Drosophila melanogaster: one gene and its partners. The protein of the gene in region 3 interacts with the protein of the main gene of each other region in a pairwise test. Each region holds a gene or a part of one and is shown on either strand. Other genes may lie near its edges.

Region 1 (6,772 bases), 4.8 Mb from region 3:
CCACAACAAGTATACGGCTCCATCGCCACCTCGCTCCCGCACTCTTACCAATCTCTTCGAGCGTTTGAAGTCGCAGGACAACAAGACGCTACAGAAGTACGCCGCCAATGGGGCGCTCAACAAGACAGAGGACTTCAATAGAGGCTCCACAGTTAGTAAGTCCTTTGTGCAGCATCTGAGAAAGCCCTCTCACAAGCAGAAACGAGCGCCAAGGCCACCGCCCAAGCCGCAATCCCGCTCCCAAGTGGCCATTGCCCATGTGACACCCCTCCGCAAAGCCCTGATCTTTCCGAAGCGATCCAAGTCGTCCAGCGAACTACTACTCGACGATCTGAGCGTGCAGGCGCGTAAGTATCAGCGAAGGATAGAGCAGGGATCAGCGCTGTAGACAGGAACAATGGGCACCCAGTTATGCACCTGTTTCTCACCTGTTGACCAGTTATTTGGCCTCATCTAGATATTAAATCGATTTCTTTCGCATTTCCGTTTACCCCAGAGGCGACGCTTTTGTAGAATAAGTGTGATCCCCAAACCAATACGAAAACGACCCGACCCCTACCTTCGATTCCGATCAAGACCCTCTAACCGAACCCGAATCCGATGTAGATGTGGAACAAGTGCAGCTATCCCGCCGCCATAATGGAAGACAAAGATACGACCCGAAGCAAGCCCAAAGAGAATTAAGCCATACGAGGAATAGCACCCAAAAGAACTAAACTAATTTCGTAATTTACGCATAGTTACATTAAGCCAATTACTCGAAACTGCATGAAAATCAAATCAAAAGATGACTAACCATATTTATAAATACAACCATATATAAATATACATAAACATTATTGTACAAATAGGATCGAAGATGTACCGAGAGCTATGGTTAGATATGGAAATAAAAATCAAACGACAATTCATGCTCTCAACCTAGTTATTTACGAGTACAAGTTTGTCTCTTCAATTATAATTTGAATTCATCTAAAGAATATACCATACAAGCCCGATATACATCTATACATTATACGGATATTTATAGCATATACCTGCGTCACTTGTTGTAACTTTTAGGATAATTGCAAGTCAAAGCAAAAGTAAACCAATTACAAAAGGAAACATTACTAACTCTTACCTGCATGCAATAAAGAATTTCAAAATGCAAAACTGAATAGTGTACTTTCTGGGTTAGGGATATATTAAGCATAACTGATTTTCTTACAGTCACTGTTCGTAATTTCATCTAAGAAGGAAGACAATGCTGGAAAAGGAATTCGGGAACGGTATTTAGTAAAAAAAAAAGCAGTCAGAACGCATACCAAACTTACAGACACCTAAGGCCTCACAGTATAGGGAAACAACTCTCAAAATCGTCCCATGGCACTTCATTTGGCAACAAAGTGATAGCCAAAGTGGTAGCGGTCGCTGTCCTGATCTTTATCCGATGTATGAAGAGCCTTGGAATGTGCAAAACAAATCGCTGTGGGCCCACCTTGGCATTAAAAGAAGCTGCCTAAGTCACTAATAAGGCTGCTTATATCTGTTACCTTGACCGCGATCAGAGATCATTGGCCCAAATCGGCAATCTGCAACTTATCACTGTCCCGTTTCATGACGCAACGCGTGTTTTCGGAGCTGTCCCGCCCGTGTAAAAGGTTTTTCGCACACTTGGCAGCGGTGCAGGCGTTCGCCGGTATGGATCCGCTCGTGAATCTTGAGGACTCCCAGTTGGGCGAAACGTTTGTCACGATGCTGGCAGGCGTAGGGTCTTTCGCCAGTGTTTGTGCGGAGATGCAGCTCGAGCATGTAGACCCTGGAGAAACTGCGCTGATAGACGTTGCAAAGATGCGGACGTTCCTCCGTGTGCCTGTTAACTATGTGGCGTCGCTGATTCTACAAAACCACGCCCGCAGTGCAGGCACTTGTGCTGCAAGACCTGCTTATGGCGCCTCTGATGAACCTCCAATGCTCCATTGGTCCTGAAGGCCTTGGCGCACTGATCGCAGGTGAAGGGCCATTCGTCGGTGTGCAGGCGAATGTGGCTTGCCAGACTAGAGGCGGATTGAAGGCACTTACCGCACTCCAGGCACTTGTGCCCACGTTTGGGTGTCTTGGCATAGGAGCAATTGTGGACCTGGTAGCAACCCAATTTCGTAAAGATCCGCCTGCGCTCCCTACAGTCTATAATAGTTATTGAAGCATGTACTTCTTGGATGTGCCGACGCAGTACTTCCGATAGCTGGAAACCAGCGCCACAATGCTGGCAGTTCCAGCGTGAAACTCCAATAGGTTCATTTTCGGGATCCTCCACAGCGGAGAGCTGTTCAATATAGTCGCTGGGATCAATAATAATTATTTCCTCCGAAGCTAGGGGTTCTGCCGTGTCTATGTTTATCTCCGGAGCCATATCGCGCAACTTCTCCGACTCCACGCATATTTTGCGAAACTTGGCGGCGATGAGAAGCTCGTTGGTGCACTCCTGGCATAAATACATTGGCTGCAAGGTACACAGGTCCACTTGCATCTCCTCCACGATCTCATAGATATCCACCAGAAGTTCATCCTGTTTAAGACAAACTCGGCAACGGAATTCACCAGATGGTGGCGACATTTTCAGTTAAAAGCTTGCAAATATTTAAAAATTGAACTGCCAAATCAAATGCAGCTACCCACAATTATCGATAAGACCGATAAGCAACAAACAGCTGATTATACTAAACTACACTTTAAAGTATGTCTCATATATTAAGAGCTAACTACTTCCAAACTATAAGATAATAATTAATTATGAATATAAATATATGAATATATTTAATACTAACAGCCAACAAATATTTGTCAGTTTAACGTGTTATAAATAAATAAGTGGGAAAACGGCATTTCATTACTAATGTGCACTTCTAAGTTCCGTTAATCGGATTTCCGTATCTGGTAACACCGTGGGGCTTCAGCTGTATCATTGGAGAACTAACGCTGAAAAACTCTTCCTTTTCGATCGGAAATAAAGTGTGACAACATGCTAGCACAAAAGTCAGTTGCCGGTGCTGATGAAGTAAGAACCAACTTTTAAAAAAGTAGCCGAACACCAAAATATTGTTTTGTAATTCAGCTTGCGCAAGCCAAAGGAAAATGCGTCCATTGCGCAAACGCAGCGGAAAGGGTCTGTCAGCGCTGCGGGGACTTTTACTGCTCCAAGCATTGTCAGCGGCAAGATTGGCTACGTCATCGTTACATCTGCATCCCGCTGCCCGCGTTGGTTTCTCCCAATGAATATTCCGTGTTCCAGAGCGACAGGGAATCAACTTTGGAGGGGGCCTGTTCGTTAAACGCTGACAAATCTGTAGTTGAGGCGTCGCCAATACCCCTCAGCCGTTCACCTATTCTTCCGGATTTGCAGTGCAATAACGCCGGCCGTTCCAGCATCATTGCAGCCAAAGATGATATTCCCGTTTCTCCGCCAAAAGCGATCATCCCGCCCAGCGGTGCTATGGTATACATTACGGACTTCATATCCAGTAATCGTTGCTATATTCGCGATGCCAGCGAATCTGCTGAAAGAGCGTTTGACGAAGTTTGCAAGAAGGTTTGTTATATATGGAGTCAAATTTCTTCAATCCAAGAAAATTCCTAAATTAGAAGTAAAATGCGTGCATGATAGCAAATTCTATAAATGAATATTATCAAAGAAATAGTGTTGCGTGTAAAACTGTATACTATTTGGATACTTAAATACTAGCAAATCGAGTTTTTTTTTCTAATTCTACTGTTGACGAGACTATTTCGAATTAAAAAGTGTTGTATCTTCACAGGTTAATACCATAGCTACGTTATTGCCCAGAATAAAAAATCCACCACCAAATAGATTGTGCCTAGTCCACTTTAATGGCATGTATGTGCGAGCGAAGATGTGTAAGAAGCTCCGTGAGGTTTCCCACTTATTTTTGGTCGATCTTGGAATCAAACATTCTGGACCTTTTTTCGATTTTAAGGATATCAATGATGAGTTAAAAGCATTGCCCTGTTCCAGCCAACTGGTGCAGCTCAAGAATGTATTGAATTGTGACTATTCCAATGATGTCATTGCCTTCAACTCGAAATTCGTGGGCAAGAAATATATGGCAACCATTAAAAAGTGCCCTGGATTACACCTCGTGGAACTAGTAAACACGGAGATGAACTTTTCGGTAAATGAACAGTTAAACGCATTTTTCAACAGTAAGAAGTTGCTACGAAACCCTAATTCTGCGGCCGAGAATATCAAGTCATGTTCCTTAGAAGGTCCGCAACCTTCACATATTGATCAACCCATTGCAATTCCTGCAATCGAATGTAAGAAAATGTTAACGAAACCAGAGGTACAGAATGAGTGTGAGGAGATACTCAAGCAACAGAACTCCGGACAAATTGATCAATCAAAATCAACTAATGTACTGGTTACAGAAGGAGCCTCTAATAAGATGCTTGGCTTTATTGATCTTGCTGATAAGGCAACTAAAACTGATCAGGACACTGCACCAAAGCCTAAAGATGAAGACGTAAAACATTCCTTAACACAATGCTTAACACCAAAAGCTAATTATCCGTTACAACTTCCAAACCATAAAAAAAATTTGGAACTTCCCGTTATCCATAAAACTAATGCCCAAACAAATGGAATCGTAATGTCGAAAAACGAACATGTCCTAAAACCTGTGAGTTGATAATATAAATTCTCATTGAGAGCCACATTTTATTAATTTATTTATTAGCCTTTTGAGATGCGTAGATTTTCAATCGAATCTAAGGAAGGCATTGATCTCATCGTTGTGGATAGTACAAAAAAAAATCGAGGTATTTTTGGGGCCTTTGACAGCACCTACGCCTCCGAATTTTCCGCCTTGCACTCTCGTTTATCAGAAATTACAGACTGCGAGCCTTATAAGCCAGTGTAACTATACTATAACCATACCAATGTAAGTTTATATTTAATTAACATTTTTGACAGTGTCAGGGAATATGTGCTTGCCAGATTTGAGGGTTCCTGGTATCGTGGCAAAGTGGAACAGATTATAGTTGTTCCACGGCAGCAGACAAAGTACCGGGTAATGTACCTCGATTACACGAATGTAGAGGACATAACCGAAATGGATATCCGTCGCTATCCATTAGACTTCACCGCTCCCTGTGCCACAAACCTTTGCGTGATTGACGGTATGGATATTAAACATTTGTCTTGAGCATAACATTTGAACAAACACTTTATAGAATTCCCGCACAACCCGAATGCAGCACAGGTTTCCTATCTGGCTGAGGTTTTGAAGGTCCATCAGTCAGTTCATATTGATAGTATCAAATATATCAACCATATAGCCGTAATTAAATCGGGAAGTCTTATTCAGAAGCTGTTGAGCTTGTAAATTTTAAGTGCATCAAATGCCATTTACTTGACACCACAACTAAATCGGGTCAAACACATTACGAAGTTATTGCGAATAAGCATTACGTTTTATAATTTTAAAAACATTTATATATAAATAAAATTCCATTAAATAACAACGTTAAAGGCTTTTAATACACAATGTTATGTTCCCTAGCTATTGATGCCGTTGATTCTCGATTTAAAATTTAAGTTACACACAACCGGATTACAACAGACGGAAAGGACATGCACAAGAGGTTTTAGTTTGTTTGGTTTTAGTTTCTCAAATGTTAAAAATGGTAGTGAAAGCGGGTCTACAACGACAAAGGCACTGTTTGGTGTGGATCTGAGACTCGCTCCAAGGCATTAGGTGTTCTTTTTCATTGTCATCTCGTGGGCGGTGCGCAGACGTCGTCTGAGTTCGTTTGGAAATCGGTCATAGCACTTTTTGCACACCGGCTTCTCGTCGTACTCGTAGAATTTCGATTTTTGTGTCATCTTCGTGTCGCACACGGAGCACGCAAAGTGGTGCACACACCAGGCCTTGTTCAAGGCAGTGAAAACTGTTGGCATTATGGAATGAGCGCATTAAATAAACCCAGAATATAGTTCAATTAAGTTACTCACCATCGCCTCCAATAACCTGGTTGCAGACGAAGCACAGGTTGCCAAAGAGCTGATGATAGTGCGTCTCGCAGTAGGCCAATCCCCGCTTCTCGTAGTGTCGGTGACCCAAGAAGGGTTTCTCGCACTTGGCGCACACGAAATGTTCCACATGCCAGTGCTTTCCGAGCGCCGTTACCACCCTCTCCTCAATCGGACGACGACAGGCACCACATATGGGAATGCCCATTTTATCGTGACAACGCAGACAATACAGTTCGTTCTATAATGGAATAATAATTCAGTTGCTTCTTATTTGCTAAAGAAAAAAAAACCCACCATATCGTTAGCAGCCAATCCTGGCCGGCTCTTGACCTCCCGAGCAGTGGAATCCAACTCTGTGCCGCAGGCCGTGCAACTGAAGTGATAGCCGTGGTACACTTCGCCCCGGAATCGCAAAGGCTCCTCGTCGATGAGGCCGCTGAAAAGCAGAGTAATTAGCAACATGTTTTCACCTAAAGCCTTTGAAACCTACTGGCATTTTTGGCATACATAGCGGCCGGTAATCTCCGCCTTCACCTTGGCATTGCACTCGTGACACAAGGCGCGGTTCTGGTTCTTGATGAATCCGCAATCAGCCAGCTCCTTGGCGCACAATTGGCAGCGGAAGCACTGTGGATGCCAGCTAGCTGACATGGCCTTGATGACCCGTCCGATGACGAACTCGCCGCACTTGTTGCAGCAGGGAGCGAAGAGCACGTGAAAGTCGCGTTCACAGTACTT
Region 2 (6,003 bases), 2.4 Mb from region 3:
TTCGCAGGCTGTTTTATTCATGTCCAACTGACATCACATCGCTATTCATAACATTTCTAATTAAAAATTGACTTGGTACTTTATTTAGACCAAACTTACAAACTGTATACATATATTATCTACGATCCAATCATTTAGTGGTTGTTAAATTCGAGTTATCGACACTTTTTCAGGATAACTCCTTCGGCTAGAACTACTTCCACTGCTACTTCTTCCTTCTACAACATCAACAATCTACAACAGCAACCATCTTCACAGCCACAGCCAGCAACCTTCAACTTGCAACTCTAAATTAACCATGTTCAGCGTCACAGCCTCACAGAAGTTTTGATTAGCAACCCAAATGATTTCATCCTAGAAGAAGCAATGCAGTCGCCCAAAGAGTTCTTTTTTAAAGTTATCCTGCGTATCCTTCAAATAATTGCTTACAATTATTTCTTTAATTTAGTTGCCTATGATATGAGGGTTCGTCCGCTTTCTCAAGTACTTGACTCTGATGTCGAGAAAACTGGCCTTGAACGCGTTTAACGCTGATGATCACAGCTACTATAGATTTGTTCGACCATTTTCTTATTGCATATGTATCCGACAAAGTAGAAAGCTTTAAACTCTAATTATAGGATATCAGTTGGTAATAGATAGTAAATGTAATTGCAGCAGCTAAATGTAATAGCAGCATTAGCAATAATACTCTTATCTTAATTGGTTCACAGCTTAATTCATAGAAACAAAACAGTTTGCACAGCTTTCATTTTTGTTCCCCCTGGTAATTAGTTTAAGTAACTATTTAGCAGTATTTAACACTCCTATTTTGCAGCTCTTTGTAAGGCGCGTATGTACATACACTTCTTACCATTCTAAGCTGATTTAAATAATTTTATTAAGCTTTTAAGTAATCATTTCTTCTTTACCAATGCGTTTATTTCAGGTCACGTTCGCCACGTCGCTCCCGATCGCCCCGCAGCCGCAGCTTCTCGCGCGATCGTCGAAGTCGCTCGGATTCTCGGGATCGTCATTAATGTTTCCAAAAGGATATCGTTTAAGCAGTGTCGCATCAAAGAACAAGCCGGCCAAGGCCGTATTTTCTGTAGGAATTCCTATGTCGATTGCGATCCAAGTAAATTTACTTCAGATGACAATATAAATCTTTCGATGCATTCTTGAAATTCCTTTTTTTTTTTTACTAAAAAATAAAGACGCACAATCAGCGAGTTTTGATTGGTTTCATATATCATCAAAAACAGTTTGTTTCCAGCAAAAGGGGACGTGCTTAGTGCACTGTTTATTATGTGAGAATTGACGTGCTGCTGTACAACTTGCTTAGAAGTATGTTCGAATAATAATTTAAACAGGCGCACGAGTGTAAAATATTATGTATACTAACAAAGGTACACTTTAAACTTAGGAGAAGACGCAACACGAATTCGTTGCACATTTCGCACTGGAATAAACCTTACGTCTAGTCATTGTATGTATCCTCGCTGCAGGGCTCTGAGCCCCATCCCAAATGGCAGATCGGATTGGTTATGGCTGCCCCTAGCGCATGCGGTATGTGTTCGACTCCTGAATTTGAGACAATTCGCCCTTGAAATTAATGTCGATGACGAAGTCCAGGTCACGGTTGTTCCGCTCGTTGGGCTTCATCTGGAACGTGCCAGTGATCTCCTCGTTCTTCTTTGCCGTCATGTGGTCATCGAGGTAGAACACGGTTTGCTTCCAATGCGTGTATGTGGAGTCTGGTGACGTACTGAACCCAAGACGCTTGTGGCACTTGGTGAACTCTATATTAAAGTAGGTGACTAATGCCTGCACGAAGTCGTTGCGCTTGATGCATAGGCTGAACTTGGACGAGAAGTTAAGATCGGCCTTTTGCACGGTATACAGATCCACCTCCTTGACCATGCAAGATGTGGATACCACTTGCTTGGGATCGACCACGTCGACCAGTGGCTCGGTCACGGCCACCTTACGAATGCAGCTCATGTCGAAGCCGTAGACATCGTCCCACCAGTTGATCTTCTCGTCCTTGTACTGTCTGTCCTCGATGGCCGTGATATACAGCGTGCCCCTATCTGGGAACATCATGCCGTCCTTCTTCAGCCACTTGTCCCGAGCGTACAACACTGTATCCAGCATGGATTCGTAGAACAGGCAGTAACTAAATTAAGGAAAGAAATTAAAATGGTTAATATGCTAAATCAAATATGACCACTTTTTAAAAGCTTAACTACAAATGAAAACCTACCCCATCCACTCGGAAATAATAATGTCCACTCCCTCAATACCATTTGGAAGCTCAATCTCCTCAATCTTGCCCTTGACAACCGTGATTACATCCTGCAGATTGTTGTCAATGACCACTTGGCGGGCAAACTCAATGATGTTGGAGCAGTCGACGGCAATCACCTGAGCAGCACCGGCTTTGGCAGCGAACATGGAGAGAATGCCGGTACCGCAACCCACGTCCAGTACGGTCTGCAAAGAGGAGATACCCCGGTGAGAAGGGCTACGAAAAATGGGGAAACCCCGGAAGTTAACCCTACCTTGCCCTGAAACAGATGCTTGTTGTGGTACATGGCGTTGCGGTATGTGACGGTGCGCACTTCGTCCTTGAGCATCTCCTCGTGGATCCCGAAATGGGCATAGGAGTCAAAGTAATAGTCGCGGGACGTCATCTCGTCGGCGTTGGCATTGGGATTATCACCGGTGGAGCCCTCCGCGGGCAGCTTCTTCGCCACATTGTTTGAGTTCGCATTTGAATTGGGCGTGATGCCGGTCGCCGATTCCACAGCTGCCTCCATGGGAATGTCTGTGCTGGCCTGCGAATCGGGTTCGTCAGCTACTGGCCTGTCGATTGCCGTCACATTTTGACCAAAACTTACCATTTTCTAATTTCTTCGGCGTCTCTTTGGTTTTTCACGTCGAAAAATTGGCGACTAAATGATGGGACTGTTTCTACAGCACGCTAGTTTAAAAGGTCGCTTATCAACACTGCCCCCGCACAAAAGCTGGAAACAAATATCGCCAGCTCGATATTATTGGATTTTTCTGAAATTTTAGTATTTTTGAGCTGGGAAGAATTGGAGTCAGTTGTCTAAGGCATGTTCCATATAATCGAGTAAAATAATCTTTGTCATAACATCAATAAGATATAATAAATACGTTCATGGTTTATTAACTGCTGCAATGCTTGTTGTATTGGTCCTATTTCACTGCTAACAAAAATACATAAACTGGGAAACACGTTTCATCGATAGTTGTAAATAAGATCCGATAGTTTTACTGGTAAGTGCTCATCTCTAGCTACCGCTTGCCCGGTAATTTTGGCGGCAAAATATTCGCACATCGCATTTACTAAAAAACGAAATATAAAGCGAAGCAGAAGTAGCGTCTATTACCTCAGTTCTTCTTTTTAACTTTGTTTACCCTATCAAAATGGAAGGCTTCGACGATGCGGGTGTGTTCTTTTCGGACAATTTCGGCGGAGATAACCAGCAGGATGCGCAAATCAACTTGCAGGCGGTAAAGAAGAAGTACAAGGAGTTCATCCGGACATTTAACGAGGAGAACTTTTTCTACAAATACCGGTAAGTGAACTGCATCTCCTCATCTGAACCCCATTTAAGGTAATCCCCCTGCAGTGACACCCTGAAGAGGAACTATCTTAATGGTCGCTACTTCTTGGAGATTGAGATGGAGGATTTGGTGGGCTTCGATGAGACCTTGGCTGACAAGCTGAACAAGCAGCCGACGGAGCATTTGGAAATCTTCGAGGAGGCTGCCCGGGAGGTAGCCGACGAGATCACAGCTCCCCGGCCGGAGCACGAGGAACATATGCACGACATCCAGATTCTTCTGAGCTCCAATGCGAATCCCACCAACATACGACAGTTGAAGTCGGACTGCGTATCCAAGCTGGTTAAGATCGCCGGAATCATTGTCGCAGCCTCAGGAATAAGTGCCAAGGCTACGCGGATGTCTATCCAATGCCTGTCCTGCAGCACGGTCATACCGAATCTCAAAGTGAATCCAGGTTTGGAGGGCTACGCCCTACCCAGGAAGTGCAACACGGAGCAGGCGGGCAGACCCAAGTGCCCGCTGGACCCCTTCTTCATCATGCCGGACAAGTGCAAGTGCGTCGATTTCCAGACCCTTAAGTTGCAAGAGCTCCCCGACTTTGTGCCACAGGGTGAGATTCCCCGCCACTTGCAGCTCTTCTGCGATCGCTCGCTCTGTGAACGCGTGGTGCCCGGCAATCGCGTGCTTATCCAGGGCATATACTCCATTCGCAAGGTGGGCAAACCCTCGCGTCGGGATGGTCGCGAGAAAGCCGTCGTTGGAGTCCGTGCTCCTTACATGAGGGTGGTGGGCATCACCGTCGACTCAGAGGGTGCGGGTGCCATCTCCCGATACAGCAACATCACATCCGATGAGGAGGAGCACTTCCGGCGAATGGCCGCCTCTGGGGACATCTACGAACGTCTCTCACAGTCACTGGCGCCCAGCATCTTCGGCTCTCGGGATATCAAGAAAGCTATAACTTGTATGCTTTTTGGCGGGTCTCGTAAGCGTTTACCGGATGGTCTGTGCCGTCGAGGCGACATTAACGTCTTACTGCTGGGAGATCCTGGTACTGCCAAGTCACAGTTGTTAAAGTTTGTGGAGAAGGTGGCACCCATAGCAGTCTACACTTCGGGCAAAGGCTCCAGTGCGGCTGGTCTCACGGCTTCGGTTATGAAGGATCCTCAAACGGTGAGAAAAAACATTGCACACCTAATCCTTACAAATTAAATGATACATTAATCTTTAGCGTAACTTTGTCATGGAGGGTGGAGCCATGGTGCTGGCCGATGGAGGCGTGGTTTGTATTGATGAGTTCGACAAAATGCGAGAGGATGATCGTGTGGCCATTCACGAGGCCATGGAACAGCAGACAATATCCATTGCCAAAGCCGGCATCACGACCACCTTGAACTCACGCTGTTCGGTCTTGGCAGCTGCCAACTCCATTTTCGGTCGATGGGACGACACCAAGGGCGAGGAGAACATTGACTTTATGCCCACAATTCTCTCCCGTTTCGACATGATTTTCATTGTAAAGGATATTCACGATGAGTCGCGGGACATTACGCTGGCCAAGCACATCATCAACGTGCATCTGAGCTCTAACAAGTCAGCGCCTTCAGAGCCGGCTGAGGGTGAGATATCGCTGTCGACGTTCAAGAAGTATATTCACTACTGCCGAACTCATTGCGGTCCGCGCCTGAGCGAAGCTGCCGGCGAGAAGCTAAAGAGCCGCTACGTGCTTATGCGCAGTGGAGCCGGCCAGCAGGAGAAGGCATCTGACAAGCGGCTAAGCATTCCCATCACTGTGCGTCAGTTGGAGGCTGTCATCCGCATTTCGGAGTCGCTGGCAAAGATTCGTTTGCAACCGTTCGCCACAGATGAGCACGTGAACGAAGCACTTCGACTTTTCCAAGTGTCTACCCTTGATGCTGCGATGACTGGCAGCTTGGCTGGAGCCGAAGGATTCACGACCGAGGAGGACCAGGAAACACTCAACCGCATCGAAAAGCAATTGAAACGTCGCTTTGCAATTGGATCTCAAGTATCGGAGCAGAATATCTTACAGGTAAGCACAGAAGTCTTATGAATCGAATGAACAATTTTTATTTATAATGCTTGCTTTTCATAGGACTTTTTGCGTCAGAAATACGAAGAACGCACGGTAATGAAGGTAATTCATACCATGATCCGACGTGGAGAGCTGCAGCACCGGATGCAACGGAAGATGCTCTATCGAATTTGCTAAACACTGTTAATCACTTCATTTCTTGTCCATCGTTGAATATGTCTTCAATCATTTCGTCACATTATTTGTATTTCCATTTATAGTATTAAGATAAACTACATTCTTTCCCAATAAACCAAATTGAATCATTATTTTATTTATTCAAATTCTGTTAAATATTTGAACAATAATTCAGTGATGTATTTAATAGC
Region 3 (4,996 bases):
CTACACACGCCGAGCATTTGACAGTTCCGGAAAAACGGCGGAAAATCGAAATTCGTAGCATTCGCCAGATGTGTGACATATGGCGGCATAATTTATGCGAAAATTGAACCGGATAGTGAGTGGAAACTTCGCGGTCCGTTGCCGCTGCATTTAAATTCTGACAATTGTTTGCATTGTCCTGGCAGCACGTCTGCGGCATTGTTTAATCCCGATTTTTCGACATCGATGGGGACCATCGACTGCTTGTTAATTGACCCACATTTGTGAGCTGAGTACATAATTAAAAGAAAATAAAGCGCGGGACGGTCCAAATAAACCCGCCGACAGGCGTTCGCACACATAACAATGACAATAATAATAAAAGTGAAGTTTCATAGCGAAATTACACACTCGAACAGAATTAAATAAAGAACTATTACGCAGTGGTGTAAAATAACCTGTTCTTGTTCTGAATAAAAAACAAGCGGGAGTGTTGCGTGGTAAAATATAATGAAATTTAAGTTTTTAAGACCATCTATAAAATATTTTTAAAGTACTATAATTATATGGTAATGCGTAGCAAAGTATTTCCGAAGCTTGTGGACACACCGTGCGCTTTTTACTTACCCAGTGAAATAACAACTAGCGGAAAATAATGCATATTAATAGCGACTTTTTCACATATTACACAACTGCCGACATTTATCAGGCATTAATAATTACGTGTTAATACGTGAAATATGATTAAATTTTTATCAGTTTACATGAATCACTTTCGCACGTTTGCGTGCGAACAAGGACATTTTATTGGCTTCATTTGGCGACGGACCGCAGAGAAACTGACGTTTGCCCAATCGGAATTACAATCGCAATGCCAGTGGTTCTGCGTCATTTGGCATCCTATATCCCTGTCCACAAAGCGAATCCTTTAGCCTGTCCATTTGCCTGCTGTGAGTGGAGGGGCGTAATACACTGCGTATACGTAATGGGGGTGCCCCAGCGTATACGCAATAAAAAGTGGTAAAGCCGAGCGATGGCACAAGGATAACCGCCTGCGCTGGCCATTAAATGCAACAATAAATTCGGCAGTTCAACTCCAGTCAACTTCGTTGGCATGCCCGAAATTTAATTAGTTGGCATTTAACATTAAGCATTTCCACTGGCGCCGCGGCTGTCATTGGGCTTTGTTTTCGTTTTGCTTTTTATGTTATTTTTCAGTTAATTAAACGCACGCCAACATCTCGCCATTCTAAATTGTGCGCAATTAAATTTGGAATTACTTTCAACTGAGTATTCGCGTAGCTCTCGCCAGCGGCGCGGCAATAACTTAACTTGAAATTTTATTGTAAGCCCCTGCCTTGCCAACTGTCACTTTTGATGGGCAGCCATTGGAGCGTAATTAGGCTACTACAACGCTCCTAAAAACCCCTACCCAAATTACCAACCCCTTCTCACTACTTGTGCCAAAAAGCTAACTTTAACTTTTCCAGCTTGGCAAGCCTTTAAGTTCGTACCTAACTTCGTTTGTCTGATGCTCGAAAGTGCACTGTCTGCCGGCTTCATTATGCAAAATGCAATGGTACACAAGCCGATGTGAAGAGGCTGCTTGTCTCCCTTATGAGTTGCACTGTTCAGACTTATCCTGGCCAGAATGGTATTTTTTTGGGCCCTGATGGTGCCCAAGCACTCACACATACACTGCATACACTGATGGCATTTTCATAATCGAGAAAAAAAGGTACCGAAAATGTATGTAATGCCAAATTATTAAGACCCAGAATGAGTAAAAATCTTGGAAAGAAAGAAAATTTCAAACTTCAACCCTATTAACTAACATTTATTACATAGAATTACAAAAATATATTGTATAATTATTCTCAAGGCAGGGCATGCCCACTGCGACTTGGATAAACAATAACAGAGATTCTCTTACACTCGTATATGTTTTTCATATCACCTGCGAAGAAAGCACACACACAGAATCGGTGTGTCATGAGTGAAAAAATAAAGGAGGTGAGCAGTTCGTGTCTGTCTGTGCCAAACGAGGTACGAGTGCAATATTTATATTATTGCAGCTACGGCGCCACATTGCAGCGACATGAAATGTTTGGCGTTGCATAAAAACCAAACTTAATGTGCACTCCCACGGGAATGAGGATGAGTTTATTGCTTTTGCGACTCGAGGTAACGCATTCTGTCCCGTTTGTGTCTTCTATGGGACTGAATGATTGTCACAATGAGTAACACCATGATCACGATCAGGATCACCACGCTGATGGCCGACATGCTCAAACTGACCGATTTGGAGGCCATTGCAAAGCTGCTAAAGAGGAAAATTAGTTCCATGGAATCTCCTAGCTTTGAAAATGAAACGCCGGTTAGGAAGTAGTAGGTAGAAGCGCAGTTAAACAGTATCATAATCAAAATCATGGCCACCAGCTGCAAAAATGGGATATTTAAATGTTCGAAATTAGACTTCACCTCCATTTGGCCGACCACCCACCACCAATCGCATGTGCAGACGGGTCCTGGAATAATTCGAGTGGTATAACCAGGTGCTCATGGCGTAAATCAGGCAAATGTAGGCAGTTCCCACGCAGACCACTTGATGGCCCAGCTGCTCATAACTGACGTGGAGGGGCAGGACGTTCCCAAACACCGACGCGTTCAGCACGGAAATGATCTGCGGAGCAGATGACTGGGGTGAGTCACAAGGTCAGATATTAGATGGCAGTCAGGTGCAACTAACCGCCGTGAGGAATAGCAATAACGATACGATTTCCTTGCGGGAGAGTAACATAATGGACGTAACTGGTAATTTAAAAATACTGCAACAGTTACTGATGTTTAACTCAAGGATTGATAAGTCATTTTCTACTACTCATTTTTAATGTGTATTATTCCAACAGGAATGATGGAGTAATTTTAGGTGCATCCGTTTGGTGAATTGCCAATCCCCTGCTGTTGTAGCTCTGTTCTCACTTCATATCCTTTCGAACAAGGTCGTGTTCCCGTCTTCCTAGATTGCCGGCCTATTTGATGAGCGCAAAATCATCGAGAACAAATTGAAATTTGCACCCATCGTGGAAGCTTATCTGCGCCACGCAGGCACTTGCAATGCCACCCATTCCACACAAATGGGAGCGGCAGGCAGCCGGCGCTAATTCATCAACAGTAAAGGCAATTTAGATACTCATCTACCGGATATCGACAGCCAGGCAGCCGGCAGAAGGCACAAGGCAGCCATGTAAGCAGATACCCTCGTCCTGTTCCGAGGACTCCAACCCATCCATTCCGGCGGCTGAGAGCAGCGCGGAGCGTTCTGCAGACAGGGTTTCATAAAATATTGATGGACGTGAAGTTGGCAGCGCATACTCGCTTCCTGTTCCGTGTCTGTCGCAGCCATAAATAATTTGCTGTAAATGCAATCGTGGGGTTACGTGGGGCATGGCATGGGCTACCCTGTGGTTCGAAGTGGGCGCTTTGGGTGCCAGTGGGTGGTGGGAGGTGGGTGGTCATCCGACGGTGGGGGCAGTGGTACGATGCTAATGGCAAGGCGCACGGTGCGAAAGTGTTTCGTATGAATTATTCGCCGGCAGCCAATTTGGAGTCACGTTTGCCAGCACAATTGAAACTGAACACCAACCATCGAACCACCGGCCATAGTGTCAATCCAGTGCTGGCGATTGCAGATAAGAATAAATAGCTATTTCAAAGGGAATCTCGAGTATATATAAAATGAAGAAAGCTTTGGTTATCTAGCTGAATGCAAGGATCGATTGTCTTATTAAAATTGATCAATAATTGTTAAAGACATAATCAGAATTTTTAGAGCAAATAAAGAAACGTGAGAATATTATAATTATTTTGTTAAAATTCAGTTTTATGGATATGGTAAATGTCTTACAAATATATTTGGCTTCTAATCTCTATACATAATATCCTTGATATTCTTAGCTAATAGCTAAGGAAAGTCTATTTCAACAGCACTGCCTTCCTGTTGTGAACCGCCTGTCGAAATGGTGTAATTTGTTATGTCTGCCACTGTAGCCGACCATGTCTATCTTCGGCCCGGGCTGCTTTTTAATAGCCATTCTCCTGCTGGCCGACTGTTGCTCGGCGGTTGTTGTGCCTTTATCGCCGGACTGCCTCCACTCCACCGTCGCCTACTCCTGCTCCTGCTCCTGAGTTCGTCCTGCGCCGGCAGGGTAATGTGTATTTAATGACGCCATCTCATGTACAATGCCCGTATCCGTTCTGCCATGATCCTGGCCTTGTCGACGGACACCGGTTGTCCTCCAGCGCCTAATGTCCAGTGACCGCAGCCATCTGCAGGATAATGCCCCGGCTCCTGGTCGACGGGTGCCAATAAAGCTGCGCCCGCTGGCAGGCATTTCAATTTCGTGCCTGCCCTGCTTTTTTCAATATTTTTAAACGGCAGCCATAAAACGTGAGCGGTAATGTGCGGACAAGGCTGTTTAATTGTACCCCTGCCCTCAGGGCAATCAGCAACTGTTTGTCTCAGATTACGATGGTAAGTCTCTCGATGTGTTTAAACAATAATTGAATTTAAGTACGTTCTCCAAACAATAGAATAGAAGCCCAGAAGAGCAATTCATATCTTGAAACCAGTGCACTGGCAAACTAGTTTGACATGTATGTTCGCCAAAAATTCTTAAATATTATATACTTAATGAGATACAATAGGGTTTTTGGTAATTTTGGGCAACCAAGACATACAGTATCTTTATAAAATCAAAAGGAAATTATGATAACTAAACTTTTATACACAGCTTCCATATCTAGTGATCTTTATTTTCTAGTCATTATCGCAATCTTATTATTATCACTCCGAATATCATCATATTTTTTTTGTGTACATTACTAATATATATTATCCCTAAATCCGTACAGGGCAACGATGAGTCTAAAGGATCTCAATCTGACCAAGGAGCAAATGATCAAGCTTCAGCAGTTGCTGGCACAGGAAATAGAGGACGAAAGCCAGCAGGAGCGG

What was found.
Region 1: the proteins of CG14380 (region 3) and Veneno interact in a two-hybrid assay, tested with the Drosophila melanogaster proteins (one large-scale study listed by BioGRID).
Region 2: the proteins of CG14380 (region 3) and Art1 interact in a two-hybrid assay, tested with the Drosophila melanogaster proteins (one large-scale study listed by BioGRID).

What each region holds. Positions count from the first base shown.
Region 1 is NT_033777.3:8,358,707-8,365,478, reverse strand, and holds Veneno (veneno), read left to right. Parts: upstream 1-2,924; 5' UTR 2,925-3,004; coding exon 3,005-3,040; intron 3,041-3,097; coding exon 3,098-3,571; intron 3,572-3,797; coding exon 3,798-4,679; intron 4,680-4,736; coding exon 4,737-4,915; intron 4,916-4,972; coding exon 4,973-5,178; intron 5,179-5,232; coding exon 5,233-5,384; 3' UTR 5,385-5,521; downstream 5,522-6,772. Other genes in the region: CG45263 (uncharacterized protein), read left to right, coding at 1-388; stck (steamer duck), read right to left, coding at 5,753-5,949, 6,014-6,272, 6,329-6,470, 6,525-6,772.
Region 2 is NT_033777.3:10,785,230-10,791,232, forward strand, and holds Art1 (arginine methyltransferase 1), read right to left. Parts: upstream 2,998-6,003; 5' UTR 2,886-2,997; coding exon 2,883-2,885; intron 2,820-2,882; coding exon 2,544-2,819; intron 2,476-2,543; coding exon 2,246-2,475; intron 2,159-2,245; coding exon 1,537-2,158; 3' UTR 1,252-1,536; downstream 1-1,251. Other genes in the region: Rbp1 (RNA-binding protein 1), read left to right, coding at 174-291; Mcm5 (minichromosome maintenance 5), read left to right, coding at 3,436-3,587, 3,642-4,752, 4,811-5,632, 5,696-5,812.
Region 3 is NT_033777.3:13,186,373-13,191,368, reverse strand, and holds CG14380 (uncharacterized protein), read right to left. Parts: upstream 2,851-4,996; 5' UTR 2,780-2,850; coding exon 2,729-2,779; intron 2,663-2,728; coding exon 2,483-2,662; intron 2,419-2,482; coding exon 2,143-2,418; 3' UTR 1,801-2,142; downstream 1-1,800. Other genes in the region: CG8508 (uncharacterized protein), read left to right, coding at 4,901-4,996.